Linked DNA regions of Macaca mulatta. The protein of the gene in region 1 purifies or fractionates together with the protein of each later gene. This does not show direct contact. Links are inferred from orthologs where the notes say so. Each region holds a gene or a part of one and is shown in the gene's direction. Other genes may lie near its edges.

What was found.
Region 2: the proteins of WWP1 (region 1) and SMAD6 purify together in Homo sapiens (affinity purification with western blotting; 3 studies listed by BioGRID, with this or other methods). This does not show direct contact. The link is inferred for Macaca mulatta from reciprocal best matches to the Homo sapiens genes WWP1 and SMAD6.
Region 3: the proteins of WWP1 (region 1) and SMAD7 purify together in Homo sapiens (affinity purification with western blotting; 3 studies listed by BioGRID, with this or other methods). This does not show direct contact. The link is inferred for Macaca mulatta from reciprocal best matches to the Homo sapiens genes WWP1 and SMAD7.
Region 4: the proteins of WWP1 (region 1) and RNF11 purify together in Homo sapiens (affinity purification with mass spectrometry; 3 studies listed by BioGRID, with this or other methods). This does not show direct contact. The link is inferred for Macaca mulatta from reciprocal best matches to the Homo sapiens genes WWP1 and RNF11.
Region 5: the proteins of WWP1 (region 1) and PTPN21 purify together in Homo sapiens (affinity purification with mass spectrometry; 3 studies listed by BioGRID). This does not show direct contact. The link is inferred for Macaca mulatta from reciprocal best matches to the Homo sapiens genes WWP1 and PTPN21.
Region 6: the proteins of WWP1 (region 1) and PTPN14 purify together in Homo sapiens (affinity purification with mass spectrometry; 3 studies listed by BioGRID). This does not show direct contact. The link is inferred for Macaca mulatta from reciprocal best matches to the Homo sapiens genes WWP1 and PTPN14.

What each region holds. Positions count from the first base shown.
Region 1 is NC_133413.1:96,936,272-96,940,747, forward strand, and holds part of WWP1 (NEDD4-like E3 ubiquitin-protein ligase WWP1), read left to right. Parts: intron 1-587; coding exon 588-684; intron 685-1,138; coding exon 1,139-1,211; intron 1,212-4,476. UniProt on the Homo sapiens protein: E3 ubiquitin-protein ligase which accepts ubiquitin from an E2 ubiquitin-conjugating enzyme in the form of a thioester and then directly transfers the ubiquitin to targeted substrates.
Region 2 is NC_133412.1:44,192,534-44,197,806, forward strand, and holds the start of SMAD6 (mothers against decapentaplegic homolog 6), read left to right. Parts: upstream 1-1,792; 5' UTR 1,793-2,853; coding exon 2,854-3,670; intron 3,671-5,273. UniProt on the Homo sapiens protein: Transforming growth factor-beta superfamily receptors signaling occurs through the Smad family of intracellular mediators. SMAD6 is an inhibitory Smad (i-Smad) that negatively regulates signaling downstream of type I transforming growth factor-beta.
Region 3 is NC_133423.1:43,376,675-43,381,726, forward strand, and holds the start of SMAD7 (mothers against decapentaplegic homolog 7), read left to right. Parts: upstream 1-1,750; 5' UTR 1,751-3,353; coding exon 3,354-3,966; intron 3,967-4,333; exon of another isoform or gene 4,334-4,511; intron 4,512-5,052. UniProt on the Homo sapiens protein: Antagonist of signaling by TGF-beta (transforming growth factor) type 1 receptor superfamily members; has been shown to inhibit TGF-beta (Transforming growth factor) and activin signaling by associating with their receptors thus preventing SMAD2 access.
Region 4 is NC_133406.1:189,424,486-189,429,738, reverse strand, and holds the start of RNF11 (RING finger protein 11), read left to right. Parts: upstream 1-1,772; 5' UTR 1,773-2,020; coding exon 2,021-2,143; intron 2,144-5,253. UniProt on the Homo sapiens protein: Essential component of a ubiquitin-editing protein complex, comprising also TNFAIP3, ITCH and TAX1BP1, that ensures the transient nature of inflammatory signaling pathways. Promotes the association of TNFAIP3 to RIPK1 after TNF stimulation.
Region 5 is NC_133412.1:161,712,562-161,717,037, reverse strand, and holds part of PTPN21 (tyrosine-protein phosphatase non-receptor type 21), read left to right. Parts: intron 1-2,084; coding exon 2,085-3,517; intron 3,518-4,476.
Region 6 is NC_133406.1:72,248,390-72,253,325, reverse strand, and holds the start of PTPN14 (tyrosine-protein phosphatase non-receptor type 14), read left to right. Parts: upstream 1-1,436; 5' UTR 1,437-2,168; intron 2,169-4,936. UniProt on the Homo sapiens protein: Protein tyrosine phosphatase which may play a role in the regulation of lymphangiogenesis, cell-cell adhesion, cell-matrix adhesion, cell migration, cell growth and also regulates TGF-beta gene expression, thereby modulating epithelial-mesenchymal transition.

The sequences.
Region 1 (4,476 bases):
GGGAGATGGGTAATTGACTCAGGGAGGAATAACAGTGGTTTAGGGCTCATCTAGACTTGAGTTCAAATGTTAGTTCTGCCACTTTAGCAGTTTAAGAAGGACAAATCATTTAAACTCTCTAGGCCTCCATTTCCTTATGTGTACAGTGGGGATGCTAATGATTCTACCTATCTCATAGAATTGTGAGAACTAAATCCATGAAAACCATTGGCACACTATTTGGCAGGAACCCTTAATAGCTGTTATACTACAGCCCAACAACAACATCTATCTTGGTTGCACCTTTTGTTTGACCTTACATAAATGACTTAACCTTGCCAAGATTCTCGTGTCTTTGCTCGCTGTAAGATGGGCGTAGTAATGATGGTGGCCAGCCTCCGTGTTCTCATGAGGATGACCTGAAGTGAGGTTCACAGTGTGCTTAGCATGGTGCCCACCCTTATTAAATGACAAACCCTACAACCACTTTTTCACACGACTTTTCAACCAATTCAGTGTTATTTAATTTCTTCAAGTGTGTACTAGTTTCATGATTGAATATAGTTTAGCATTTATTTCATATTAAAGTACATTGGATTTCATTACAGTTTGTGAAAGAGACAGACAATGAAGTAAGAATGCGACTACTGCAGTTCGTCACTGGAACCTGCCGTTTACCTCTAGGAGGATTTGCTGAGCTCATGGGTAAATGTAGTTTCACTGTAATTTCTCTGTAGATAATTTTGTGATAATAATGGCCTTTGGACATACAGTAGACTTGAACTAAAGATTACTCTTCTGTGCTGTAGATAGGACTTCATTTAGAAGAAAGAAAAATGAATGGCTAATATCAAAGCACTTGTAAGACAAAAATGAATGTCTCCTCATATAGCTGAGGTGGCCATTGCTTTGCTCCCTAGGGTGACTGTGAAGGGAGCGACATTCTGTATAAATAGTTTTCTTCCCACTGATTTAATTCTTATTGCTGGATCTCTGCAACAGTAAGAAGCTTCTTCAGGCAGAAGCAGCTTACATTGTGAATTTCTTCTTTATTTCGTATCATTCATATGATTATGCAGCATGTTCTATTATTTAAGTAGTTGTCAGAAGAAAAAAGTTTAAAGGACCAGATAAACTTTGTCTTATTTTCCTGGTGTAGGAAGTAATGGGCCTCAAAAGTTTTGCATTGAAAAAGTTGGCAAAGACACTTGGTTACCAAGAAGCCATACATGGTAAGTTCAAGAATCCTAAATACGAAGGTGAAAGCCACAGAGAATCTTTTGTTTTGTTCCTTTAAAAATATGTAAGATCCAGTATAACTGCGTATTCATTAAAGTAGTCAGAATTTCAATTTTGAGAACACATTGATTAATACAGCATTCTATAACTGAACACTTTAGCGTGTTCTCATTAATAGAAATACTTGAGAAATGCATCCATGGATTCAACAAATATTAGTGTACCCACTATGTATAAAGTAAGATTTAAGTATTCCCTGTCTTTTATGAAGTTTGTGCCCCATGGTGGGGCGCAAATGACAACAGATAAACAAATAACTATTTGCAAATCCTGGTAAGTCCTTCGAAGGGAAAAATGAGAGTACTCTAATAGAGAACAACTAATGGGAACCTACTCTGGGTTGAGTGGTCAGGGAGATTTCTTGGAAGGGGTAATTTGCTTAAGTTGAGTTTGATAATGAGCATGCTGTGGGAATAAGCAGAGAAAGAACATTCTTTGCACAGAAATGCCAAAGTAAGCAAAGACCCTGAAGAAATTGTTTTTCAAGGAAATGAAGATGATAGGTATGATTGGAACTTGGTAAATCAGAAGAAAGGGAGATGAAAAAAATTGGGGGATGTAGGCAGGGATTAAATTATGTACAGCCTTATAGGCTAATATAAAGAACTGAGATATCAAAGAAAAATTAGACAGCTTTGAAAAGTTTTAAATAGCAAGTAATAAATCCCAGAAAAATCGGCCGGAAAACAGTATAGGGGAGGAGTTGGATGCAAGGGTGAATGCAGGGAGAGTAGTTAGGAAATTGTTATAGTTACCCAGGCCAAAGATGACAGCCTGGAGATAGGTGATTCTTTCAGGAGGTCAAAACTATTTTCATACCAAGCCATTATTTGCCTTTTTATCATTTTGAAATTTCTACTTGTGGTGCAAAAGCAATGGTTTGTGAACCTGCTTGTGCCTTAGCATAAATCAAGGCAGTGGCACCAAACTGCTACTACCTCTGTATTCTTCAGCACCATATACTTGAGGTTTAAAGCAAGGGAAAAAAAAAAAAAAAAGCAAAAAGGCAGGTTCATTGAAGTTCTTTATGAAGCAGTAAAAATTACTAACTTTATTCAATCTTGATGCTTGAGTATATGTTTTTTTAACATTTGTGTGACAAAATAGGAAGTCTGAAATAGCACTTGTGCACACCAGAGAATGATTTTCTTAAAGGAAAGCTCTTGGGCAGTTGTTTGAGTTGAAAACTGAACTAGCTTGTTTTCTTTTATGGAACACTATTTTTACTTGAAAAAATGACCGCCAGCAGTTTATGCAGACTTAGGTATTTGACAGACATTTTCTTGAGAAGTAATGTTGTTAGCTTGTCATTTTAAGGAAAACAATAGGCATTTGTTGGTGGTGATAATTACCACCATGAGCTTGAGAGCTTCTGAAGACTTTCGTCAATGAGATTAGTGAGATTGTTTGTTTTTTGTTTTTTTGAGACGGAGTCTTGCTCTGTCACCCAGGCTGGAGGGCAGTGGCGCGATCTCAGCTCACTACAACCTCCGCCTCCCAGGTTCAAGCGATTCTCCTGCCTCAGCCTCCTGGGTAGCTGGGATTACAGGTGCGCACCACCATAGCTGGCTTATTTTTGTATTTTTAGTAGAGACGTGGTTTCACCATGTTGGTCAGGCTGGTCTCGAACTCCTCACCTCGTGATCTACCCGTCTTGGCCTCCCAAAGTGCTGGGATTACAGGAGTGAGCCACCATGCCCGGCTGATTAGTGGTATTTTAACAAATGTGATTTTTTTTTCCTATTATATAATTAAATGAGTCAACATTTAGAAAATCCTTATAATTCAATGAGTCATTATTTTCAAATGATCAGTGAATGCTACAACAAATGTTACAAAATGACGCATGAGTAAAAGATCTATTCAAAGTGCAAGAGAGTCTGGGCACAGTGACTCACACCTATAATCCCAACACTTTGGAAGGCCGAGGTGGGAGGATCGCTTGAGCTCAGGAGTTTGAGACCAGCCTAGGCAACATGGTGAAACCCCGTCTCTACAAAAAATACAAAAATTAGCCGGGTGTGTTGGCACACACCAGTAGTCCCAGCTTCTCTGGAGGCTAAGATGGGAGGATCACTGGAGCCAGGGAAGTCAAGGCTGCAGCGATCCATGATCACACCACTACACTCCAGTCTGGGTGACAGAGTAAGACCCTGTCTCAAAAAAAATCAAATCAAATCAAAAACAAAGTGCAAGAGAGAACAGTAAATTTTGTATAACAAAGTACAAAGTGTTCTTTGACCTGATTTCGAACCATATTGTGCATTCCCTTGTCAAATTTAGTATCAAAGAATAATATCGATAATTATCTGACAAGATGAGTAGAGTATATCTCTATTTCTAACTATTTTTCTGTGTGGGGCAGTAGATTAAATGTACAAGTAGATATCAGAATCCAGATGTTTTCTGTTACACCAGATATTTAAAAGATTTCCAAAACTATAAAACAAAATCACTCTTTCCACTATATTTTTTTGGAAATACTTGGGTTTTTCCCATTAAAATGTTTATTTTCATATCAAAATGAATTAATACTTTTTAAACTTCTGTTTTAACTTGTAAATATCAGTAGCTATAATTCATATAAATAAAATATGTTTTAACTTTTAAATATCAGTAGCTATAATTCATATAAATGAAAGCTCTTTGCAGTTGGAAATTTTTTTTTCCGAGACAGTCTTGCTGTGTTACCCAGATTAGAGTGCAGTGGCACAAACACAAGTCACTGCAGCCTCAACCTCCTGGGTTCAAACAATCTTCCCACCATAGCCTCCCCAGTAGCTGGGACCACCAGTGTACACCACTATGCCTGGCTAATTTTTTAATTTTTTGTAGGGACTAAGTTTTGCTATGTTTTCCCAGGTGGGTCTTAAACTCTGGGCTCAAGCCGTCCTCCTGCCTTGGCCTCTGAAAGTGCTGGGGTTATAGGCATTAGCCACCGCTCCCAGCCAAGGTTGACAATATTTTTAAGAGTGAAAAGGAGTCCTGTGACCAAAATTTGAAGACCTCTGCCTTCAATTAAAGTGGTAGATCCAATATCTACCACTTTTGAGTGATTTTTGAGTCAAGGGGAGAATTAAAATAGATTTCAAATTTTGTGAAGGGAAAGTAATTACCACCCACTGATTTCTGTTTTCTCAAAGTATAAGGAGAAGTCACTGGCTAAGAGTGAAGAAAGGAAAAACTTTCGAAGGAAAG
Region 2 (5,273 bases), on another chromosome or scaffold:
AAAGAGCAGACACGGGGATAAAAGAAAATACATTGAGTTTCTCTTTGTATTTGAAGATGTATTAATTTCCCCAGGGGCGAAAAGTGACTGAAAGGGGCCACAAGACGGGCTTCTGGGGTGCATTGCTTTTTGGGTGCTGGTGACATCTTGTGTGTTTGTTCACTTGTGAAAATTCATCCTGCTGTTCGCTTGAGATTTGTGCATTTAACGTGCACAATCTCCAGGGAGCTTCGTGGTTCTGTGAAGCACGAAGGGCAAGCATCCTTATCCGCGGTTTCAAACAAGAAAATGAGGCTAGGACCGCTACTTTAATTTGGCCAAAGTAGGAGATGGGTGTGAGGAAGTGTCTCAGTCCCATCTTTCGTTCGGGGAGCAACCGCCACTCCCAGAGAGCGCAGCGCGAACAGTACCTGGCTCCAGGTAAAGCTCAGCAAATGGTTCTGAATCCTCCTTGCAAATGCCACCCTTCCCCCAGCGCACACAGCCTCTGGGCACGGCCGGGGATTCGCACCGCCGCGCACGCCACAGACCAGCCCCACGCGTGGCCACCCTCCAGGGAGACCCGCTCGCCGGCGCCCCGCGGCCACCGCGGGAGAATGGCGTCCAGTCCCGGGCCAATGAGAGTAGCGGAATTTCTTTCATTCAGCGCGGGGCCAGGCTCCTGCCCGGAAAGGGGCGGGGCGCCGCGCCGGGGGTGGGGCCGCCGAGAGCGGGGGGAGAGGGCGGTGCCGGCCCCGCGGCCTGGCCAATCGGCGCCGCGCCCGGGGGGGGAGGGGGGCCCAGGCCTTTTTTCCCCTCCGCGCGGGACCAATCCCGACTTTACAAGCTTGAACTTTTGCCACCCTCGGACGAGCTAGCGCGCCCGAGGAGGTACCCCGCCGCGCCGGCTCCAGGGGCAGGAGCGGCCTTAACCCTTCCCGCGCCAGGCGTCAGGCTGCTGCCGCCGCGCCCCGGATCCCGCCCCCAACTCACCCTAATTTTCGCATGGAAACCTCGCTAGGGAAAGCGTGATCCCTCACCTACAGCCCTCTCCGAGGTGCGGAGAGTAAACTGGAGAGGGGAGAGGAAGCACCCAGCCTGGAGGCGGCCCGGCCGGCCGGCGGCCCGCCTCGCTCCGAGGGAGGGCCGTGGCGACCGAGAGGAGCCAGCGAGTAGACACTCCCCGCCTCTACACCACCCTCTCCATCTCTCCACTCGGGGCGAGCCTGGAGCCACCGTGCGCAAAGCGCCCTAAGTTCCCTGTTTGGCCCGGCAGAGCGACCCCCAACTTTGTGCAAGGAGCGTAGAGCCCCTCGTGCAGTCACGGAAGATCCGCTACCCCAACATATCCGCCGCCCCCTGCTCCTCAGGCTCAACCCAGGAAGGCACACACGCACACCCATTTTTATTAGCCTGCCCTGGGATGGGGGTTTGGAACAACTGTAAAGTGCAAAGTGTGTTTATAAGTTTGTGCACAAGCCAGGGAGAGGCAAAGCGCCCCGCTTGCGTCCGAGTCTCAGTGGGTCCGCCGAGCCTCGCGCGCCTGCCCGTGGCTCATGTAACCCTGTGTGTATGTGTGTGTGTGTGTCCGCGGGCGCGTGTGTGCTCGCTCGCATCCATGCCCTGGGCACAACGCGAGGCAGAAAGCGGGCCGCGGGAGCTGTCAGGCCCTGGGCTGGGGTGCCGGGGCGGTGTGGGGCGGGGGCCAGAGCTCGGCCCGCCCCGGGAGCCGGCCCCTTGGAGCCTCCGGCCCTGCAATGGGACGTGTTCTCCTTTAAGAGTTAAGAAACTTGAAACCTTGTTTGCGCAACAATCAGCGCCGCGGAGCCGCCAAAGTGTCTAGACTGGCATATGATGGGAGTCAGCCAATGACTCCGCGGCGCTCCTCCGGGGGCCCTCAGTGTGCGTTTGAGGAGAACAAAAAAGAGAGAGCGAGCGGAGCAGGGGAGCGATCGAGGGAGCCGAGCCGAGAGAAAGAGCCGCTGGGCGCTGCCTCGCCAGACCTCGCTGGGACCCCGGGGCCACCGGGAGGCACTTTTGTGGAGGGGGGAGGGGGGGCGACCTCGGCAGCGTCGGCGCACGAAGCGTCCGAGGGCAGCGTGGGGCGGGCTGCGACCTCTGCCTCGGTGGACTGCATTTTTAATTAAGGATTCCCAGCAGCTCTTTGGGATTTTTACAGCTTCCACTCATGTGTTGACACCCGCGTCCAGGAGAAACTCGCTCCAAGTGCATCTAGCGCCTGGGACCTGAGACGGCGTTGGCCTTTCGTGCATGCAAATCCAGGGATTTAGGTTTTGTTTGGGATTTCCTTTTCTTTCTTTCCTTTTTTTTTTTTTTCTTTTTGCAGGGAGTAAGAAGGGAGCTGGGGTTATCAACAAGCCTGCCTTTCGGATCCTGCAGGAAAAGCCCATGTAGTTAAGCGCTTTGGTTTAAAATAAGGCAGGGGAAAGGGAGGGCTTTCCAAACACATTTGGGGGTTCGCGCGAGCGCTTTGTGCTCATTGACCAGCCGCGCAACTTTTGAAGGCTCGCCGGCCCATGTGGGGTCTTTCTGGCGGTGCGCCGCCTGCAGCCCCTTAAAGCGCGGGGACTGGAGTTGTTGAGCAGCCCCGACGCTGCGGTCCGTGTAGCCGCTGGCCGCGCGCGGACTGCGGCTCGGCGTGCGCGTGTTCCCGGCCGTCCCGCCTCGGCGAGCTCCCTCATGTTGTCGCCCTGCGGCGCCCCTTCGACGACAGGCTGTGCACGGTCTGCACGGCGCTCCGCGGCGGAGCTTCATGTGGGGCTGCGACCCGCGCAGCCGGCGCCTCGCTGAGGGAACGGACCCCCGGTAACCGGAGACCGCCTCCCCCCCACCCCTGGCGCCAAAGGATATCGTATGTTCAGGTCCAAACGCTCGGGGCTGGTGCGGCGACTTTGGCGAAGTCGTGTGGTCCCCGACCGGGAGGAAGGCGGCAGCGGCGGCGGTGGTGGCGGCGACGAGGATGGGAGCTTGGGCAGCCGAGCTGAGCCGGCCCCGCGGGCAAGAGAGGGCGGAGGCTGCGGCCGCTCCGAAGTCCGCCCGGTAGCCCCGCGGCGGCCCCGGGACGCAGTGGGACAGCGAGGCGCCCAGGGCGCGGGGAGGCGCCGGCGCGCAGGGGGCCCCCCGAGGCCCATGTCGGAGCCGGGGGCCGGCGCTGGGGGCTCCCTGCTGGACGTGGCGGAGTCGGGAGGCCCGGGCTGGCTGCCCGAGAGTGACTGCGAGACGGTGACCTGCTGTCTCTTTTCGGAGCGGGACGCCGCCGGCGCGCCCCGGGACGCCAGCGACCCCCTGGCCGGGGCGGCCCTGGAGCCGGCGGGCGGCGGGCGGAGTCGCGAAGCGCGCTCGCGGCTGCTGCTGTTGGAGCAGGAACTCAAAACGGTCACGTACTCGCTGCTGAAGCGGCTCAAGGAGCGCTCGCTGGACACGCTGCTGGAGGCGGTGGAGTCCCGCGGCGGCGTGCCGGGCGGCTGCGTGCTGGTGCCGCGAGCCGACCTCCGCCTGGGCGGCCAGCCCGCGCCGCCGCAGCTGCTGCTCGGCCGCCTCTTCCGCTGGCCCGACCTGCAGCACGCAGTGGAGCTGAAGCCACTGTGCGGCTGCCACAGCTTCGCCGCCGCCGCCGACGGCCCCACCGTGTGCTGCAACCCCTACCACTTCAGCCGGCTCTGCGGGCCAGGTGAGCGCGCTGCGCCGGCCGGCGGGGCCCCGGCTCCCGGTCCCCGTCCCCTTCCTTGCCCTTCTCTCTGTGACACTGCGGGTCGGCGCAGCTGCGGGTGCTCCCTCGGGTGCCCTTGGAGCGTGGTAGCCACCAGGAGAGGCGCCTTAGCCCAGCCGAGGGGAGTGGGTATCCCAGCACACACCTCAAGTGGCAACTTTATCTCAAGTCTCCGGTAAACTTAAAAGGGTACACGTCGTAGTTTTCTCTGTGCAGTTTCAGGGACATGATGTAGGCTCCAACTTCATAGGCAGTGAAAGGGGAGGGCAGGCCAAGGAGAGACCAAAGAAGTAGGTACTATTTCCTCCTACCTCAATTCCGGAATCTACCCCAGTCTGTACCCAGGCTTCTAGCATTTGTATGCAAGTGCCCTTACCCATACTGTGCTTTTCTATGTCCAAGCAGCTTTAAGTTGTGAAATTGGGTGTACACAAATCATAGCTAGAATCAAAAGTCTTCGTCAAATGCCCAATTTGTGCCTTTGTATACTTTCGACAAAGCTTTGCAGGGTAATCCCTCTCTGGAGTAAAGAGCACCGTCTTTATTCCCCACGTATAATCATTCCCCACATCCCCTTGGGTGTCAAGTGCCAGGGTCTTCCATAGTCCTTCTCAACTTTTGTTTTCAGCTTTTGTATAGAGTTTAGGGTCTTGGTGGCATCTGTGAGTAGTTGAAGAAGCCAGATACTCGATTACCTCTGAGAACTGCCCCCCTTCTTTGTTCTCCTCTTGGGATTTCCTGCACACACCCCACCCTTAGCCTTGCTTACCCGGCTAGGCCCTGGTGCTCAGGTGCAGACAGGCGGAGGCTCCAGCAGGTCAGGAGGCTCCAGCAGGCCAGGAGCTTGCACTTACTTGCCTTGCTCTGACCTCTGCCTTGTGGGGAACACATATTTTAGCCTGTAGCTAGCCTCTGAGGGATGTATGGGAATCCATCAGGTGACACTGGGGTTTTGCAGGGGTGGGACTGGCAGGGAGTCACAGGCTCTTGAGCCTGGGAGGGCTATGAATCCCTCCATTCTGGCTTCCCTGGGGAGAGTCAGCACCCAGGCTGGGAGCACAGAGAGGGTCAGATCTTAGGTCTCCTGACTCTGTGTGGAAGAGGAAGATGGGCCTAGGATGGTGCATTTGTCCTAGGTGTCTTGTCTGTGTGTGGAGTAGTGTCTGGAGAGGAAAGGAAGTTTTCCCTCAGTGATGATTCCTGCATAGAGGGCATTGATGGGGGTGAGTGGGGAGGGGCATGGTTGATCAGGCACCTTACTCCCCTCATGGTAACTCCAGTCCTAATTTAGGATCTATGAGCAGTCCCTGATCTGTGGCCCATGCCAGGCTTTCTATGCACTCTTTTCCTCTTGCTGACAGCTTTCCCTGGAAGTGACTTTCTCCCCTCTGCGAACTCTGTCTCCTCCCTGCCTCTGGGGAAGGAGACCCCTATTTATGGTTGTCTTGTTCCTGGTCATTTTTTTTTTTTTAAGTGGGCCCATTCCACTCTTGTAGAAGCCCCTGGCAGGTATATTCTCTCTCGCCACTTCAGTGTGCCAGCAAATGTTTGTTGAGCAACTATT
Region 3 (5,052 bases), on another chromosome or scaffold:
CTTGACCTCAGGTGATCCACCTGCCTCAGCCTCCCAAAATGCTGGGATTACAAGCGTGAGCCACCAAGCCCCGGCACATTTCACCTTTTCTAAAGATTATTTTAAGGCCAGGTGCAGTGGCTCACGCCTGTACTTCCAGCAGTTTGAGAGGTCGAGGCAGGTAGATTACTTGAGGTCAGGAGTTCCAGATCAGCCTGGCCAACATGGTGAAACCGCGTCACTACCAAAAATTACAAAAATTAGCCAGGTGTGGTGGCAAGCGCCTGTAGTTCCAGCTACTCCAGAGGCTGAGGTGGGAGAATCATTTGATCCGGGGAGGCAGAGGCTGCAGGAAGCCGACATCGAGCCACTGCACTTTAGCCTGGGTCAAGAGTGAGACTCTTAAAAGAAAAAAGATTCTTCAAAGCCCCCAATGAGTTTCACTGCGGGCCTGATCTCATAATTCTCAATGGCTTTTTTTTTTTTTTTTTAAATCGTATTTCACTGAATATGAAGTGAGGTTAGATCACCATGCCAACCAGTGGCCTCATCAATACTGATGTGTGTGTATTTAAATAATTACGTTTCTCAGAGCCATCAGCTTTCACGCTGTATATGCGTTCATGCCCTAGCAATGCCATGCCCGTTTCTATGCAGTAACTCGCCAGCTTGAGTATATGTTTCTTCGGGACCTGGGGTCAAGGTATAAACTCTCTGACCCTAAGCACCTTGAAAGCTACGAGGCCCAGAAACAGGCCCTGCATGCAAATAAATGCCCTAGGCAGGTCTGCTCGCTGGGTAACCTTCCCGCGCCAGGAGGCAGGGTGGCTGGTGGCGGAGGTCTTCCGGGCCCGGGAGGAAACCTGCGGGCGGCGCGCAGGCGAGCCCCCGCCTCCCGCTCCCCTTCTCCCGCCAGGAGGCTGCCCCTCGCAGCTCGTCAGCCGGCCAAATGCATTCCATAGCTGTGCACAAGACACACTTCTCCAGGCAGTCCTAGAAACCGGAGCCCGGAGCGGAGAGGGCGGGAGGGAGCGCGCGGCCGCCGCTGAGGTCATATTCACGCCGCCTCCCCGCCCTCGGCGGCTGTTCCCCTCAGCGCACACTTCCCGGGGCCTCGGTCCAGTCCCGTATAAATGTCTTTTAAACCGAGACAGCGCTCTCCTCCCCTTGCCCTCCGGCGCGGCCAAGGGATCCGCCGCCAGGGCCTTTAAAACAAAACCAATGAATGAAGCGCTAGAGCGAGCGCGCGCGAGATGGCCACCGCGAAGCCCAGCCGGGTCGAAATCGGGCCACCGACCGGCTCTCTAAGCTCCAAAACTCGCAGCGAAGCCCGCTCGGTGCTCCCTGCTTTTCCAATTTCTCCATGGCTCCCGCCGGGGCTCAATCGATTCTGGGAGCTTCTCTGCCCCCCACCTCTCTCTCCCCTCCGTCGGTACCCCATCTACAGCCCCGGGAGGGGGTGGCGGTGGCGGGGGGTTGGGGGGAGAAATAGCTTTTAGAAACCCGATCTGTTGTTTGCGAAACACAATCGCTTTTTTTTTTTTTTTTTAAAGCGACAGGGTGTCTAGACGGCCACGTGACGAGGCCGGAGCCGGGCGCGCCACTGCGCAGTGGAACCAGCCGAGCAGAGGGCCGGAGGGGGGGTGCGGGGGGGCGGGGAGGAGGCGGCGGCGGCGGCGGCTGGGGGCGGGGGAGGGAAGGGGGAGGAAGGGGGAGGGAAGGGGGCGGGGGCGGGGGCGGGAGGCCTTGCGGGAGGCGGCGAGGTCTGGGCACACTCGCTTGCTGCTCGGCGCACTGAAGATCTTGTCCCCGAGCCGCGCCAGCCGAGCCAGCCGGGCGCCGTGCTCGGTCCGCTCGCCGCGCGGGAGAGAGCTGCCCGAGACAGAGCCAGTCCGCCGCCGCCGAGCCGCCGAACGCCCGGCCCCTGAGCCCCAGAGTGCGGCGCGGCGAGCCCCTGGCGGCGGCAGAAGGACCAGAGCGCCAGGAGAGGGCGGACCGGGGACAAGGAGGCTCCCGGGCGCGACGAGGAGAGTCTCGGAGGAGGAGGCGCCGAGAGGACACCGGGGCCTCCTGCCGCCGCTGCTGGGGCCAGGCGAGCAGCCCATGCGGGGACCCTCGGCGGGCAGCCGCGGCCAGGGGAAGGGACACCGGCGGCCCCCGCACTAGCAAGCAGCTTGTGCCCAGGGGGGGCGAGAACGCGCGACCCGCCTGGGGCCCTCCGCCGCCGCCGCCGCCGCGCCGCCCTCCCCCGCGCTGTCAGCCCCGCCGGGCTCAGCCGCCGCCGCAGCATCTTCTGCCCCTGCGCCCCCGCCAGCCTCGAGGAAGTCCCCGCCGAGGACCTGGGCCCCCAGGAGCGCAGGAGGAAAGACCAGAGACTCCCCTAAACCACCCAGATGCGCAGGATTGAAGCGGTCTAGCCAAAGCTTTCTGTGGATTAAAAAAATACACGATTTTTTTTTTTTTTGGCAGAAGGAGAGGAAGACCAGCGGGGCTTTGCAAGGAAAAAAGGGGGGGATGTAACTCGTGGATACATTTTTCCACCCCTCAAACATCTTGTTATACTTTGTAAACATTTTCTTTTTTTAAACCCCAGCTCCAGCCGGACGCCCCCAGACCTCAGAGGTTCGAGGAGGTGGTGTTTTTCATTTGGGGCTTTGCATATTTGGTTGTTAGGTTTTGCGAGAGCCTTCTTATTTCGCCAGACATCTCATGCGGGGTGAAGTCCACTCGGCCCCCTCCCCTGAGTCTTCGTGTGCACAGAATTCGAGGAGATCCGGTTACTAAGGATATAGAGAAAAAAAATAAATTGCGTGCTTGCTTTTTTTTTTTTTAATTGCCTGCTTCTCCCCACCCCCAAATTAAGTTGCTTAGCAAGGGGGAAAGAGGCTTTTTCCTTCTTCCAGCAGCCCAGCCGAACGCCTTTCGCTTTTTTGCCTCCGCGGACCTTCCATGTAGGAATCCGAGGCTGGCGAGCCCGACATTCGGGAGCCACTGCGGGGGGGCCTCTTTTTGGGGAGGCGCCGACGGGGGCAGGCTCGGCCGTCCCCAGGGAAGCGGCGGCCGGGTTCCTCCGGGGCGCGCCGGGGCCGGAGAGCCGCGCAGGGCGCGGGCCGCGCGGGGTGGGGCAGCCGGAGCGCAGGCCCCCGATCCCCGGCGGGCGCCCCCGGGCCCCCGCGCGCGCCCCGGCCTCCGGGAGACTGGCGCATGCCACGGAGCGCCCCTCGGGCCGCCGCCGCTCCTGCCCGGGCCCCTGCTGCTGCTGCTGTCGCCTGCGCCTGCTGCCCCAACTCGGCGCCCGACTTCTTCATGGTGTGCGGAGGTCATGTTCGCTCCTTAGCCGCCAAACGACTTTTCTCCTCGCCTCCTCGCCCCGCATGTTCAGGACCAAACGATCTGCGCTCGTCCGGCGTCTCTGGAGGAGCCGTGCGCCCGGCGGCGAGGACGAGGAGGAGGGCGCGGGGGGAGGTGGAGGAGGCGGCGAGCTGCGGGGAGAAGGGGCGACGGACAGCCGAGCGCATGGGGCCGGTGGCGGCGGCCCGGGCAGGGCTGGATGCTGCCTGGGCAAGGCGGTGCGAGGTGCCAAAGGTCACCACCATCCCCACCCGCCAGCCGCGGGCGCCGGCGCGGCCGGGGGCGCCGAAGCGGATCTGAAGGCGCTCACGCACTCGGTGCTCAAGAAACTGAAGGAGCGGCAGCTGGAGCTGCTGCTCCAGGCCGTGGAGTCCCGCGGCGGGACGCGCACCGCGTGCCTCCTGCTGCCCGGCCGCCTGGACTGCAGGCTGGGCCCGGGGGCGCCCGCCAGCGCGCAGCCTGCGCAGCCGCCCTCGTCCTACTCGCTCCCCCTCCTGCTGTGCAAAGTGTTCAGGTGGCCGGATCTCAGGCATTCCTCGGAAGTCAAGAGGCTGTGTTGCTGTGAATCTTACGGGAAGATCAACCCCGAGCTGGTGTGCTGCAACCCCCATCACCTTAGCCGACTCTGCGAACTAGGTGAGAAGTTGTCCCCTTACCCCCAGCATTTTCCGGCGCGCCAGTGCTGGAAGAAAAGCCCTTAGGGCAGTGCGTTTGTGCAGCCACCCCTCCAGGGGGAGTGTGCATCCCCTCCTGGGAGGAGACTGGGGGCCGAAAGTAGAGAAGGGACACGGGGAAACTCAAAGGGCATTCCCTGGGGTTTCCCTTCCAGGATTTCTCCTGTGTTGCCCCGAAGGGGTCTATGGGCACTGCTCCTGCACACAGTTTGCGGTTAAAAATTAGACGCCTTCATTTCCGGATCAACAAGGGGGTGCAGAGGGAGATGGGGGGGTCACGCCTCCCCGCACCCGGAAAGGCGTTGAGGTGTGTGACCGAGTTGGATTTGGTCCAGGCCCGCCAAGGAAGGCTGGGAGAAGCATGCTATAAAAAGGCTGGAAGGTCTCCGTATTTACTCCTTCAGTAAATAAGGAGAATCACGTCGAACACAAGTGGCCCAGACACTGTCGTGGCCGCGCAGCTTTGGAGTTTTGGGGCAAAGAGAGTTGGATGGAAGGCCGAACTGGGTATCTGTCTCATTTCAACTCTGCCAGCCCCAGGGTGCAGAGGAACAAACAGCCAGGAGAAGTTGGGTGTCCCCTACTTTTTCCTTCCTTCCGCACAGATAAGTCTATAGATTAGTGGGGCCCTGCGCCTCGGTGACGTTGTCGCCCCTTACTGCGCTGGGGCCAGGGCTTCTCGGCTGAGACCCTGAAACTTCTTCCCTTTTATCCTGTCAGCTTTCTCCATTCCTTCCTTTTCTGTATGTCTCTGTACACGGAGTGTGATGTGAGGGTTCACCCCGGGCGACCGCAGATCCCCCAAGTTCACCAGCACGCTTGGGCTGCATCTCCCGAGTGCGCTGGGAATGGGGAGCCCCGTGTCCCTCGCGCGGGTGCCCAGCGGACCGGCGGGGGCGGAGGTGAATTGCACCCCTGGGGGGCGGGCCAGGGCGGGGAACCGAGGTTGCTGGGAGCTGGGTCTGGAGTCCGAGAACGGGGAGGGGGTATGGTCGCCCCCCGCCTGTGAACTGTGAAGTGCGCGGCTCCGGCTGAGCCGGTGGTTTCC
Region 4 (5,253 bases), on another chromosome or scaffold:
AGCCACCACACCCGGCCCAAAATTATGAGTCTTTTCAAAAATTTTATATCAAAAATTTGAGTGCATTTAAATAAGATAGTGACTTCGTAGAATAGGGACTGCAGAGTAAGAGTGTTCAGACCCATTCAAGTTTAATATAGCCCTACCTCTAAGAATCCTTTCTGTTCCTCAAATGAACTAATTGCTGTCTTCTGGTTCCTCTAAAAACCTTGGGGTCCGTGGCAGGGTGTGGGCTTAGGACTCATCTGATTACTTGTCTTCCCAGGTGGTCTCTGGGCTCTATCAGCAACAAGCCAGGTGTGATCATCCTTTTCCCCAGTCCTTAGCGTGGATTCTGGTATATACACGCACACACAAATTCAGTAAATGATGAATAAAACGAAAGGCAGTCAAGACCACCTGTTGAATGAACGTCTATCAGGAGCACTGTCATCCTTGCTTCCTTCTTTTGCATATGTTGTTTGAGCTGTTCATTGAACCAAGGAGAGAGCATACTCTACCTTGGGCAGTGTGCCAGCCTTGCACAGAGGGACAGATGATTCAGCTTGATCGGGCTGTGTGAGAGCACAGAGGAAGCGACTAACCCAGACTGGAGGGTCAGGAGAGTCTCCCCAGGGGAAATGAAGTTGCATCCAGAAGGATTCCTGAGAATAATGATTAGCCTGATAAGAAGCAGAAAGGTTGGGAGTGGAGAGAAGCGGGTTTCTGTGAGAGAAACAATATGGACATAGGCCCCAGGCAGAGGCAATAGTATTCCAGATAACCAAAAGCATTTGAGAGCCTAGTTTAGAATTTGAGAAAGAGGTGACAATGCTGATAATGAGATTGAAAGGAAGTCAGATTTGTAAACCATTTAGGGATTGTTTTAAGGACAGCCTTGAGGAGACATTGAAGGTTTTAACAGGAGAATGACACGATCCGATTCAAATTTTAAAAAGATAATTCTGTCAACTGTGCCAACAGTGAATTGGATGTGGGCAATGATGAACTCAGGAACAGCTGAGAGTCTATTGCAGAAGTCAAGGTGAGAGATGATGGTGGCTTGGACTTTGGTACTGGGACTGGAAAGAAATGAACAATCTGATACACAACTGGAAGAAGAATCTCTCCAGCTGTGATGTGGGAGGATAAGGACATGACTGGAGAGGTAGGGAGGGTTCACTAACGAGCTAGGACCTTATTCTGATGCGATAAAGGGGAAGCCTTTTAACATTTTAATCATGGGCCTAATCCATTCCGATATGGGTTTATATAAATAGACTGCCTCGTGGAGGGTGGTGAGAAGATTGTCAGGCAGTGCACAGGTAAGAACTGAGCCTTAGACGGGGCGGGAGCAACGAATGTGGGTTGGCGCGGGAGACGGGAGATTGGTTTCGGAGTCAGGTACGGAGCCAAGCAGTCAGAGACAAGCAAAAATTGACGCAGGACGGGGAACAGCTGCTGGTGGAGAGGGGGATGGTAGCCGCCGGAGCCGCCGGAGCCGCCCTCGCCTCCTGCCGCCGGGGGCGGAACCAGAGCACGCACGGCGCGATGACGCAGGGCCCGAGCCGGCCTCGTTCTGGCCGCCACTGCCGCGCTGAGGCGGAGTAGGATGAGGCCCGCGGCCGTGGCTCCGGCGTCGGCGGGGGCAGCAGCAGCTGAGGCAGCAGCTGAGGCAGCCGCGACGGCCGCGCCCCCCCCTGCTGACCTGGATTAGGCCCAGCAGCTCCGTGGCCGCCGCCGCCCCGCGGGGGGGCGGGGTGGGGAAGTGCTTCGTCTCCCCGCCCCCCCCCCCCATCGCTGCCTCGCAGGAGGCAAACGCCGCGACCCCAGCGGAGCCCGCGGCCCAGCCTTGAGCCCCCACCCCCGGGGGCTGGCATGAGCGGCCCCTTGGCGGCACCGTGGGGCGGTGGAGTCGCCTCCGCCTGATCCCCGGCCTGCCGCCCGACCCCACCTTGCCAACCGAGGCGGACCGCTGAGCGTGCGAACGACCCCATCGCTGCTTTCTCCTCCCCCAGATCACGCACCCCAGCTCCGGAAGATGGGGAACTGCCTCAAATCCCCCACCTCGGATGACATCTCCCTGCTTCACGAGTCTCAGTCTGACCGGGCTAGCTTTGGCGAGGGGACGGAGCCGGATCAGGAGCCGCCGCCGCCATATCAGGTAGGGGAGGGTGTGTGTTGGGGGGAGCAAGTAGAGGCAGCTCTGGTGGAGGTTGAGGGGGCTTCGGGGCCATCTCTGCCCCTGGCTTCGGCAAGGCCTGGCCTGGGCGGCATTGACCCCCTTAGGGCTGGATCTGAGGGCATTTGCTCTCTGATCTCAGAATAGGGTTGATTCTTCGCCTCCCCTCGGGCACCGTGTGGGGATGATACTCTCTGCCCTTGAGTTCTGGGATCAGAGTATGTGATCACATCCCCTTGGCCAGTGTCTGGTGGTTCGCTTGTGGAGTTTGGGAGTGACATTTTCCTGCCTTTATGTCTGAATCGTATGATTTCCTCATCGCACCGCCAACTGGATTATGGGTTCTGGATAGGTGGTTGCCAAGCACCCCCCCCCCGCCCCATTTATGTTTTCATGTGTGGTCATCCTCTTACCCCCTCCCTCGTCTTTTTGTTAATTGGATCTGGCAGGTCTTCATTTCTGCCTCTGCTTGGGAGACGGATCTCCAAGTGGTGATTTTAACCCTAGCGACATCGAGTTACTTGTTTATATATATATATATTAATTTTAATCCCTCCTCCTTTTGCTCCACCCTTATGACACACCTTTTAAACGTGCTGACTTAAGAAAACTTGATTAGCTTCAACTTTGGAAACCTTTAAACCTAGCTTGGGAAATTCCTTCGGTTACGCGTGTTCGCCCTTTGTATCAAAGACTCTCCTGAATATGTTTTACTGCTTTTTGTACAACAATCAGTAGTCCCAGATGTGTTGCAGAATTCGAGTGAAGACCTCTTAAACTCTAAATAGGTATGTGGATGTCATAATCCACAATATATGTTTGAAAACCTTTCCTATACTTTTTCCATTTTAGATGATACTGAATACAACCTTTTCCAGAGGGCTTCAATAGTAGTAGTACTTAATTTTTTCCTAAAGAGTTTAGTTTTCTGGCTGGGCAGGCTCCTTTGTTGTTTCATGTGATGACATCATTATCTAGTATTTTCTTTTCTCATTCCTGTGTAAACCAATGTCTCATCACACCAGAAAAACCTGATCATATATGCTGGTTGTCTGAATAAAACTTTTCTGGGGCATTTCGTATATACCAGTAAGGTCCAGTCTTGATTGTGGTATACAGAAGCCTCCGTAACTTCTCTCTCTTACATTCTGTATTCCAGGCCTACCAAATACAACACGCTGTTCACACCTTTGTTTTGCTCCAGTTCCTGTCTGCTTGGAGCCCTTCCCCCAGGTCAGCCAGGTGGACATCTAATCCTCTTTGAGAACTCAGTTTTCGTATTTGAAGTCCCAGCATTCCCTTTCCTCCCAGCCTGAATCCCTTGCGTCCCCACTGAAACCTCTACACTTCCATAAGCGATATCTATAACACTTTAGTGTTGTATCTTTGTTAAATGTGTGTCTCATCCTTGCATTCGCCTCCTTCAGTACAAGCTGCATGAAGGTAGAGAATCTGTGTTTCCGGTTTGCTGTTGTATCCCTCGCATCTGCCTCAGTAGGTACTCAGTAACTGGGAGATAGATTACATGTAAAAGCCCTTGAGAACAAGGACTCTGCCCTCGCTCAGTTTCTGGCACATAAGCACCTAAATGTTGAATTAATTAATGAAGTTGAATTTAGTATTTTCTGTATTTACACGACTATTTTTTCCAAAGTAAGTTGTCACAAGGGTAGTCTCTTAAAAATCAAAGCTGAATCTGGGTGTCTTTATAAGTACCTTTGAGTGAAGCAAGCAAGCTATGTTTATCCTTCACTCTCTTTCCCCTCTATATTTACTATACAACAAGAGTGCTTATTTCACTTTTTTTTTTTTTTTTTTTTTAAATGAGACAGAGTCTCGCTCTGTCGCCCTTGCTGGAGTGCAGTGGCATGATCTCACTGCTCACTGCAACCTCTGCCTGCCGGATTCTAGTGATTCTGCTGCTTCAGCCTCCTGAGTAGCTGGGATTACAGGCACGTGCCACCACGCCTAGCTAATTTTTGTACTTTTAGTAGAGACAGGGTTTCACCATGTTGGTCAGGCTGGTCTTGAACTCCTGACCTCAAGCAATTCACCCACCTTGGTCTCCCAAAGTGCTGGGATTATAGATGTGAGCCACCGCATCTGGCCTGAAGTTTTTATTTTAAAATCTCTTATGCTCCCTACCCTCACCCCCTTCTTTTTTAAAAAAATAGAGACAGGGGCTCCTATGTTGCCTAGGCTGGTCTTGAACTCCTGGCCTCAAGCAATTCTCCTGCCTCCTATCCCCTTTCTTTCCAGGCAAATTGAATATCTTTGACTTGTTCTGTTTCTCCTATCCTTACGATAATTGTACTATTAAAGGTACTAGAGTTTATGGAAAGTGTGTTTGCCTTTTCCAGAAGAACTAGGTGATGATGAGGGATGAGGGGTTTTTGGTGTCATGAAGGAACTTTTTTTGGAAATGTTATATTTTTGACAGTGGGAGTTTTTTATGGTTGCGCTTTCCTGAAGTGAATGACGCAGACTAATACACAAATTCAGTATCAATTGGAAGAAAATTACTTTAAAAGATGGAAGCATAAAAAGAAACTTTTGGAGGAAAAGTATTGTCCCCCACCCCCAAAGAAATAAGATCTGTTTTAGGAATGGTTATTTTAGATGATCTGAGAAACAGCAATCCAAAGTTATTTATTCATTTATTTGAGTTGGGAATCTCCCTCTGTCATCCAGGTTAGAGTGGATTGGTCACTTGGCAGCCTCAAACTCCTGGCTTCAGGTGATCCTCCTCCCTTAGCCTCCCAAAGACTGGAATTACAGGCATGAGCTACCTCACACAGCAGATTTATAGTACTTTCAGTTGATAAAAGTAACCTTTTCAATAAATTGTATGTAATTAACAGTGAATAGCTGATTGTAAAGGAACATGTTCTCTTGAGGTGAGAAGTTAAAAGATGTCATTGTTTGCTGCTTTATATGTACCATGTACATATAATGACAAGAGCCAGTTCCATTTATTTCCTATTAACATCTGACAAATTTGTTTTTATTTATTTTTGCCTAAAAGTAAACCCCTTGCACCATTATGATCCAAGTTTGTAGGAAGTGCATATTTCTTTCCATGGTTTCTTTTG
Region 5 (4,476 bases), on another chromosome or scaffold:
ATGGGGTTTCTCTATGTTGGTCAGGCTGGTCTTGAACTCCCAACCTCAGGTGATCTGCCTGCCTCACCTCCCAAAGTGCTGGTGTTATAGGCATGAGCCACCGCCCCCAGCTACAGGATCATTCTTTTGCCTAGTGTTCGAGACTTCACACAATATTCACTGAGCCTGCTCTTCCAACCTTACTTCCCAAGTTATTTTACTCCTCTGTAGCTATCTGACACTCCAGCCACCCCATCTTTCCGGGGGGTGCTCCCTGGCTTTGCCAGTGCTGCTCTGCACCCCCAGGTGCCCTTACCTCATGCACCCTTCTGTTCACATGCCATCCAGACCAGATAGGCAGGGCTATGCTGTGCTGAGAAAATATTCCATTCCAAACTCTCAGGGAAGTAATAGTAAGGGTCACCTGTCCATTGCACACTGCACTAGCAGGAGGGCTCTGCCCTCTGTGAGTCTGCGGTAGGAGCTTGAGCTGGAGAGCCTCTTCTCTCTGGAATGTTGTTTGTTGGTCAGTGTTGCAGTTGGAAGAGAGCCTGGAAGCTGGCTTTTAACTCTCTGTACACTTTCCCTTGACCATTACTAGTCGCATTGCTGTGCCTGGTATCAAGGGGTGAGGAGGCATAATCCTGCCTGCTCTGAGAGGTTGAGAGACCTCACTTCTGATGGAAGCTGGACATGCCCACCTCACCCACTTACCCCTCAAGTCCCCTTAACTGCCATATCTTCTGCGAGGTGGTTCTTGGTTCTCTCTTCCTTGTCCCCATCAACCCCACCCAGGCTGGAAATGACCATTCCTTCCTCTGGACTCCTGTAACCTTTTATCTCTTCTCCCTTCCTTGAATTATGGTGATTTCATGCATACCTTTCCCCTTTTCGTGCCTGTATTCCAACTGTCTTTTTCCCCTTCTATTCTCAGTATTGCCTTTTCCACATAACAGTACCATAAATGGCTAGATGGTTTGTGGGGTGCAGAAGCAGGGAGACTAGGTGGATATAGAGCTAGTTCAGACAAGCCTGGGGTAGGGGCCCGAGCTGTGACAGCAGTGAGAAAAGTGGGATTGCAGAGATGGAGCCACGACCAAGCTTTGCATAGACAAGGAAAGCACAGTGACAAGGAAGTGCTGTGTGTCAGCAGAAGAATACCATGGAGGTTTGAATGCTATTTCCTCACAGCCTTATGTGCCACCAGAATAAAGTGTACCCACCGGGTTGTGGCATATTAAGTATCACTTAAATCACTGTGGAGATTTTGAAGCACAAATAATGCCTTTCAGAGGAAATTGTTATTTGAAGGAGTTGGCTGCTGAGTGTTAGAAATCATCTAGGGTTAGAAATCATCCTCAGTAACAGAAGGCAGGTGAGCTACAAATTGACTAGAAGAAACATGGCCCCTGTCATCCCTGGGCAGGGACACATGCATAGCTGTTGTAAGATTAGGTTAAACTGATTCTGTTAGCTGCAGGTCTGAATCTTCCTGAAACATGGGAGCCAGGGCAGGGGGCAGCTGCAGCTGTTTTAATGTGACTCCTCTTGGCTCTGGACACTTTATGGGCTGTGTGGCTGCTGGTGACACTGTTGGACCAGAGAAGCTCAGATCCTGCTATACCATTACCCTTTTACAGTCGAAGCTTGTGTATTCATTTGGGAAGAACAATCAAAAATTCCAGTTAAGGAAATGCTTACAGACAGTCGGTGCTTGAACTGGCTCAGCAGCAGCAAGGCCACATCCCTACCCAGGGAAGAGAGTCCCCAGCCCAGTGCCTTGAATGGTATCTCTGCCTCAGCTTCCCCAGAGTACCAAAAAGTCTGCTAGTCTGCTGTGTGTGTGGTTTGTTTAAGACAGGGTCTTACTTTGTCACCCAATGAATGCCACCCCTTAAGTAGGCAGAGCCACCCCCATCCTATAGATGAGGAAGCCGAAGCTCCCAGGGTCACTCAGATAGTGTGGCTAAAGCTAGGTCATTTTAGCATGGATTTTTACAAGCTGTGTTCAAATGTCCTCAGAGGTAAGGGCCGATCTCAATATTTGGTTGGAGTAATTAGTCCAATTAAAAAAAAATCTCATTTTGAACTTATTCTTTTTCTAGATAACCTCTTTGTGCCCAACCAGAACGGATACTACTGTCACTCTCAGACAAGCTTGGATAGAGCCCAGATTGACTTCAATGGTCGGATTCGTAACGGCAGTGTCTACAGCGCACACAGCACCAACTCCTTAAATAATCCTCAGCCCTACTTGCAGCCCTCGCCGATGTCGTCCAACCCAAGCATCACCGGGAGTGACGTCATGAGGCCTGACTACGTCCCATCCCATCGGCACAGCGCCCTGATACCCCCGTCCTACCGCCCCACCCCAGACTATGAGACTGTGATGAAGCAGCTCAACAGGGGCCTGGTGCATGCGGAACGGCAGAGCCACTCGCTGCGAAACCTCAACATCGGCAGCTCGTACGCCTACAGCAGGCCCGCGGCGCTGGTCTACAGCCAGCCCGAGATCCGCGAGCACGCGCAGCTCCCCTCGCCGCCGACGGCGCACTGCCCGTTCAGCCTGAGCTACAGCTTCCACAGCCCGTCTCCCTACCCCTACCCCGCCGAGCGGCGGCCCGTGGTGGGCGCGGTCAGCGTGCCCGAGCTGACGAACGCGCAGCTGCAGGCGCAGGACTACCCGGCCCCCAACATCATGCGGACGCAGGTGTACCGGCCACCCCCACCCTACCCGCCCCCCAGGCCAGCCAACAGCACGCCCGACCTGTCCCGCCACTTGTACATCAGCAGTAGCAACCCCGACCTCATCACGCGGCGCGTGCACCACTCGGTGCAGACGTTCCAGGAGGACAGCTTGCCCGTGGCGCACTCGCTGCAGGAAGTCAGCGAGCCCCTCACCGCCGCGCGCCACGCGCAGCTGCACAAGCGGAACAGCATCGAGGTGGCCGGGCTCAGCCACTGCCTGGAGGGCCTGCGGCTCAAGGAGCGGACGCTGTCCGCGTCGGCGGCGGAGGTGGTGCCGCGAGCCCTCTCGGCGGGCTCCCAGCCCAGCGTTTTCACCGAGAGAACGAAGCGGGAAGGGCAGGAGGAGGCGGAGGGTTTGAGATACGGCCATGAGAAGTCCCTGTCAGACGCCACCATGCTGATCCACAGCAGCGAGGAGGAAGAGGACGAGGACTTCGAGGAGGAGAGCGGGGCCCGGGCGCCCCCTGGACGTGCGCGCGAGCCCCGGCCTGGCCTAACCCAGGACCCACCTAGCTGCCCTCGCGCCCTGCTCGCCGGGCCCCTGCACATCCTCGAGCCCAAGGCCCACGTCCCGGACTCGGAGAAGAGGATGATGGACAGCAGTCCCGTCGGCACGACCGCAGAGGCCCAGCGGCCCTGGAGAGACGGGCTGCTGACGCCCTCCATGTCGGAGTCCGACCTCACCACGTCTGGCCGCTACCGAGCCCGGAGGGACTCCCTGAAGAAGAGGCCGGTGTCGGACCTCCTCTCTGGGAAGAAGAACATCGTGGAAGGGCTCCCGCCCCTGGGGGTAAGCCACGCGGCGAGCAGTGCCCGGCCAGGGGACTGCGCCTTCGCCCTGGTGGTTCTTTCACTCATCACGTCCCGTGTTTTTCAGCTCCTCTTGTTCTTCTAACGTTCTTCATTCCCCCACGTCACTTTTTGTCTAATTTTGAACACATTGAAATTTACATATGGAAATCATGGGGATCCACTTGAATTTTAGTGGTTTTACTGGAGATTATTATAGATGAAGTGAAAAGGTTAAATTCACAGGGCTTTGTCGAAAGGAATGGAAAAGATGAAAGGTTTTAGTAACGCAGTGTTAAGGGAAAGACAGTTAAGGTTTCATGACTTTAGCCAGGATTGCTTTAGCCACCCATTAAAAATACTGTGGGTGATGCGGCACCCACAGTATTTGTTTAGTTTGTTGAAGAGATACCTGAGAAAAGCATCCAGGAAAGTGTTCCCAATCCTAATATAATTCTCCAGGTTGGAGTGTGTGTAGATATAGCTTACATATCTTGGCTGTGATTCTCCAGAGTGATCCTGGAGTTGGGAAGGTGGCACTTTGTCAAGGCAAATCCTGAGACGTCCAGGTTTCTTAAATTTAAAAGAAAGATGAATTCAACTGAGAATCTAAGGAAAGTCCCTTGTAGAAGATGCAATTCTTTAATATTCGGCCTAATAAATAAATATGAATTAAGCACTTTTTACCTACTTTGAAGCAAAATATAAAAAAGCATAATAGCATCATCTCTAGCTGCCATCCTTGGAGCATTTACCATGGGCCAAGTATTTCCTCTACTTTTCTGGCCTATTTACAGTAAGCCTATTGTTATGCCTGTTTTATAGTTGAAGAAACAGACTTAGATATTAACTAACTTTTCAAGGTCATATGACTAGTGAGTGACTGAACTGGAATTTTAAACCCATACTTAGCAGCCCGTTCTGTTATCATCTACATTGTCAATGTATGTTCTGCATTGA
Region 6 (4,936 bases), on another chromosome or scaffold:
TCTTTGGAAACCTAGCGCGTCTGTACAGCTATTTCCTTTAAAATGTGAGAAAGTTGATTTCCCTTCAACCTTTTCTTTCCATCACTTTTGCATTGCACTCGGCGTTTTCTCTAATTCTTTATAGTTCTAGAGATTGGCAGATGCTCGAAGAAAATCAGAGTCACTACGGATTTATTTATTTTATTTCATTTTATTTTTTTGAGACGTAGTCTGGCCCTGTAGCCCAGGATGGAGTGCAGTGGCGCGATCTCGGCTCACTGCAACCTCCGCCTCCCGGGTTCAAGCAATTCTCCTGCCTCAGCCTCCCAAGTAGCTGGGACTACAGGCGCACGCCGCCACGCCCGGCTAACTTTTTGAATTTTAGTAGAGACGGGGTTTCACCGTGTTGCTCAAGCTGGTGTCGAACTTCTGAGCTCAGCCAATCCGCCCGCCTCAGCTTCCCAAAGTGCTGGGATTACAGGTGTGAGCCACCGTGCTTTTTGGTTTCCAGTTCTCTTCCCCAAGAGGCCAGGAATTTTTGCATGAGTTGCCAGACACTGAAGTGATTTGGGACAGCACATTCTGTGACAACGACTTCAAGGCTCTTTTTCAACAAAGGACTGGAATCTTAGCAAGATAACATATCCCAAGACATGTTAGCAATGCAAAGGACCACAGAAATCTAGACAAATTCTTTAATTTTACAGCTACAGAAACCTAGGATCTCAGGGGCTGGGATACTCCTCAGTTATCCAATCGGGCAGGGCCTAAAACTCAGGTTCAGTCTCCTGGCTCCAAGCTTTTTCCATCATACCAGCTGCGTCTCATTAACTCCACCTCCGAAAGTGCTAAGGAAGTTCCCTCCCAGTGCCTACCCAAGCAGGGTGGGGCGATTCTGTGGCATGGAACAAACCGGGAAAACGACATTTTCCAACTCTCAGCACAGAGGCTGCTTTTTATCATTCCTAGGGGGCAGGAGGGGGCAGGGAGAGAAGGCTAAGACACCGGGTCCAGTACCCAGAGGTTCTAGGGAGAGATCTTTGAGATTGCCTACTTGGTGAGGCCACCTTACTTTCTCCTGGTCTGTTTTCCCCTGTGGGGTGGCTGCATGAGGCGTCCTGCTTGGAGGGTTCCCCAATATAAGGTGGACTGTCCTTGATCTAGGTCGGGGTGGGCAAGATCCTGCCGCCATCCCGTCTCTGCGGTCCTCGGAAGTCTAGGTGGGATCTTCCTTTCCTTGCCTCTTTCTTCCCAACGGCGGGAGCGGCACAGGGTTGGGGTGGTTGCGGTCGCCTCGCTCTCTCCACTTCAACGTCTCTTACTCCAGGGAGTTTCATCCGGTCCTCCGTCCTCGGCCCCCACCTTTTAAAACATTTTCCAAAACTACACCATTAAAAGTGCGCGACTTCTCCGGGCCTGCAGAAGGAGCTCCTGCAGCCCGGCATTCCTCGGATTCCAGCGCTGTGACGTCCCCAAGGACGGCGCGCCTCCAGCTTGGGAGCTCTGGAGCTGGGGCTCCACGTTTCAGCGCGCGCCCGCGGCGCCCCCGGCGCGCGCCCTCCCGGGCCGCATTCCTCCCCGCCCCCGGCCGCGCGCCCCGCGCTCCCTCCGCCTCCAGGCCCCCAGCGCTGCCGAGCCCGGCTCTGGGGTGGGGGAGCCGTGGCCGCCGGCGCTTGCTCCGTCCCCTCCCACTCGCACGGCCCCTTCCTCCCTCCTCTGCCGGCCGCTCGCATTTCCTGCCGCTCTGGCTCTCCCGGCCCCTCAAAGTTCTTCCCAACTTTTTCTCCGTGGAGTGAGCGCAGGGGACGCAGACTCGGGGGCAGGTTGCTGTGCTCCTCCGGGCTCGGCCGCCTGCTCTGCTGGCTCAGGTCCTTGGGGAGCCCTAGACAGACACAAGTGGCCACTGGCGCTCCTTCCCCTCCCAGCTGAGCCATCCTCCCCGGCCTCCTGGAACGGGACAGCCAGTGCTTAGGTTTTTCTCCTTTTCTTCCCCGGTGCGCCTCTGCTCCGACTCTCGCGCCGGGATCGCGGCGGAAACCTCCCTCCCCTTTCGCCTCCTGCGGCTCCTTCCCTTCGCCCCTCCTCCGCCAGCCACTGGAATCAATTCCGTGGGGAATCGGGGCTTCGCCGCCGCGAAGGACAGCCTTTCCGCGCGGGACTCCGGGGCGCCACGGGGGCCATGTAAGCAGGTAAGCCCCGTCCAAGCCGGGGAGTCGGGCCCGAGGTTGGAGGCCGCCTCGGCGCTCCGGGCGCCCTGCAGATGACTTGGGCAGACGCTGGCAACGCCAACTTGCGATTGGCGGCCCGGGACGCCTGGCAGGGCAGCGGGGGCGCTGGGTGGCCGGGCCGCAGGGGTGTTATCTCGCGGTGGGAGCTGCCCGTGGTGAGGCGCAAAGCTTGTCCCGGAGCGAGCTGGAAGGTGAGCGCCGTCTGGGGAGTTTGTGGTTAAACCCACACCCTCGTCTTCTCTCTCCCTTCCCTTCTGCGTTTTGGGAATGAGAGAGGGCCTCGGAGGGGCACCTGGAGATACCTAAACCTTGGGGGCTAGAGGATGAAAGACGAACGACGTCGCGGTCGCTGCAGCGGTAGGGGGACGCAGCTGCCCGACGCCCCCAGTTACCCCCCCACCACCACCGGGAAGGGATCTTGAGGCGAGCGGAGTTTTCCTGCCCTCTCACTAGGCCTCAGTGGTGCCACCGAACTCCTGGGCGTCGAGGCTCCTACTTGGGTGGTCGGGCTGGCTCGTAGAAAAAAGCTGTGGTCACACAATTTCAGATCAGGTCTCCACCTCAAACTTTTCAAGTTCTAGGTATTAACAGCCTCTCCTTCCCCACGTGACCCCCAGATCTCGGGTTTGAATACTTGTAAATGGGTTTTACACCTTTTCGTTTGGAGAGAGCAGTGAGGTAACGCTGCCCCTACCTCCCTTTTCCTCTCACTTCCTTCAGTTCCTGTCCTCCAGCCCCCTCATCCCCACCTACAATTTCAGAGATTGTAGGGTTTCCGCTTAAGTCTGGGGACTGGCTGTCGCAGGTTCTTTGTGAAGGTGAGAAATCTCTAGATTGCAGGCGCGGGCAGTTACAGAGTTTCCACCAATGTGTTAACTTCTTGAAATGGATTAGTTTACTCATTCATCCAACAAACCCAGCTTCCACTCTGCTAGAAACAGGGGATAGAAAGATGCTAAACGAGATCACAGGGCAGGAGTCTGCAGCCTAGTGGAGGAAACCTGAAGGCAGATGAAGAATGATAATGCGTGGAAGATGGGTTCTGTGAGAGTCTGAGGCGAGCTTGGTCCTGGTGAGGCGTGCACTGCGCTTAGAGAATGGAGGTTGTGCTCATCTGGAGGGTGTATTCCAGGCAGAGGAAACAGCTGGTGCAGAGTGAACACAAGAAGGACCGAAAGTTTCCCTAGCCATCTGGGGGCCCAAGGGGCATTTATGGCCATGTTGGTGCGGTGTTGCTGGGATAGCATTCTCTCCACCCCCAATATAAGAAATTAATCTAGGAGTGCGTTAGCCACTGATGGGAACCACAAGTAGCTTCCAGTGGAGCCAAGGCCTCCCTCTTTGGATACACTTCCATGCCTGCTGCTGTTTTACCACAAGCAGCTGTTGTATGATCATCTAAATTTTAATTGGCCCATGCTCGGTTTCGTTAACATGGTATTGATTATTCTTCTTTTTTATCCCCCACATTCAAACAATGATTCCTTTTTTAAAAGGCTGCTTGACAGCCATAGGTGTGGTAATATAAGGCTTTACGGACCTTGTATTATAAAGTTACCTAATTGTTTGGTGATGGGGTTAAAGCTTGTGCCATAGAAATGACAGCCTTAATGAGCGGGAGCTGAATGGCATGATGCCCTTTTTGCCCAGTCTGAATGGGTGGCCATGTGGTGCAAAATTAGTTCATCTGTATGTCACGAAGTTTGTTATACTTTTCTCTACTTTGAAGTCATTACTATTGCTTTAGCACGCACAGTTGTAAGGACTGTCGTTCTTCTCTCTGAAACTTTATGAAAATAGAAAACACTATCTTCTTGCAGATTTTTGTAGCCTAATGGCCCAGGATTCAGCAAATCCTGGCTAGAAAAGTTACTTACAATGCAGTAGCGTTCTGTACGTGGTTTGCCTTTCAAGGGTGCCTCTTCACTGGACTGAAGTGGTGCTGTAGTATTGTTCCTAGTGGCTGAGTCCTGGCCGAAGTGGCAGACATCCAGCTTTTGGTGACCTCAGGCCAGTACATCAGAGTAGGAAGAACACAGTGACTTCCTACACCTTTGGGTGTTTATCCAAGCCCCTCGACCAGCATCTTTTCTTATCTCAAGAACAGCCCCTTCACAGAAGGTTTCCTGAAGGTGTGGGGACCTGCATGAGAGACATGGTTGAAGAGAAGCCCTTTCCCGCGAATCCCAGGCATTTGCCCAGTTTCCATCATTGGCTTCAACATGTAATTATTATTAACACTTGAGTTATTCAGGTTTGTGCATACTGTGTCACGCTGGTAGCTGTACTAGAAAGAACAGTTAGACTTTTAATAGGGAAGCACCATAAGGAATTCAGAGAAAAATCAGAATTTTTAGAATAATTCTTACTTGCCCTGGACGTATGGGCTAAGTGTCAAGAACTATGAGGACTTTTTATTTTCCAGTGCCTTCCTTCCTTATTAGAGGTTTAAATTTGCTCCAGGGAAGCAAACATCAACCCTTTGATTGCATATTATAGCCCTCCTGGGTTTCATATTCTTGTCATTTTTGAGCAAGGATTTCGTCAAATTCTTGCATTTGAGCTTCATTACTTAGTCACCAAATGCTGTGTTTTTAAAAAATTCATTTTAAGCCTCAGAACAGTGCTGTGAGCTTTGTTAGAGATAATGCATGAGAAAGAGATAAGATGAAATACTTAATTAGCCAATTAAGGAATGAGGGAAAACAAACACTAAAGCTTTGGTAGGG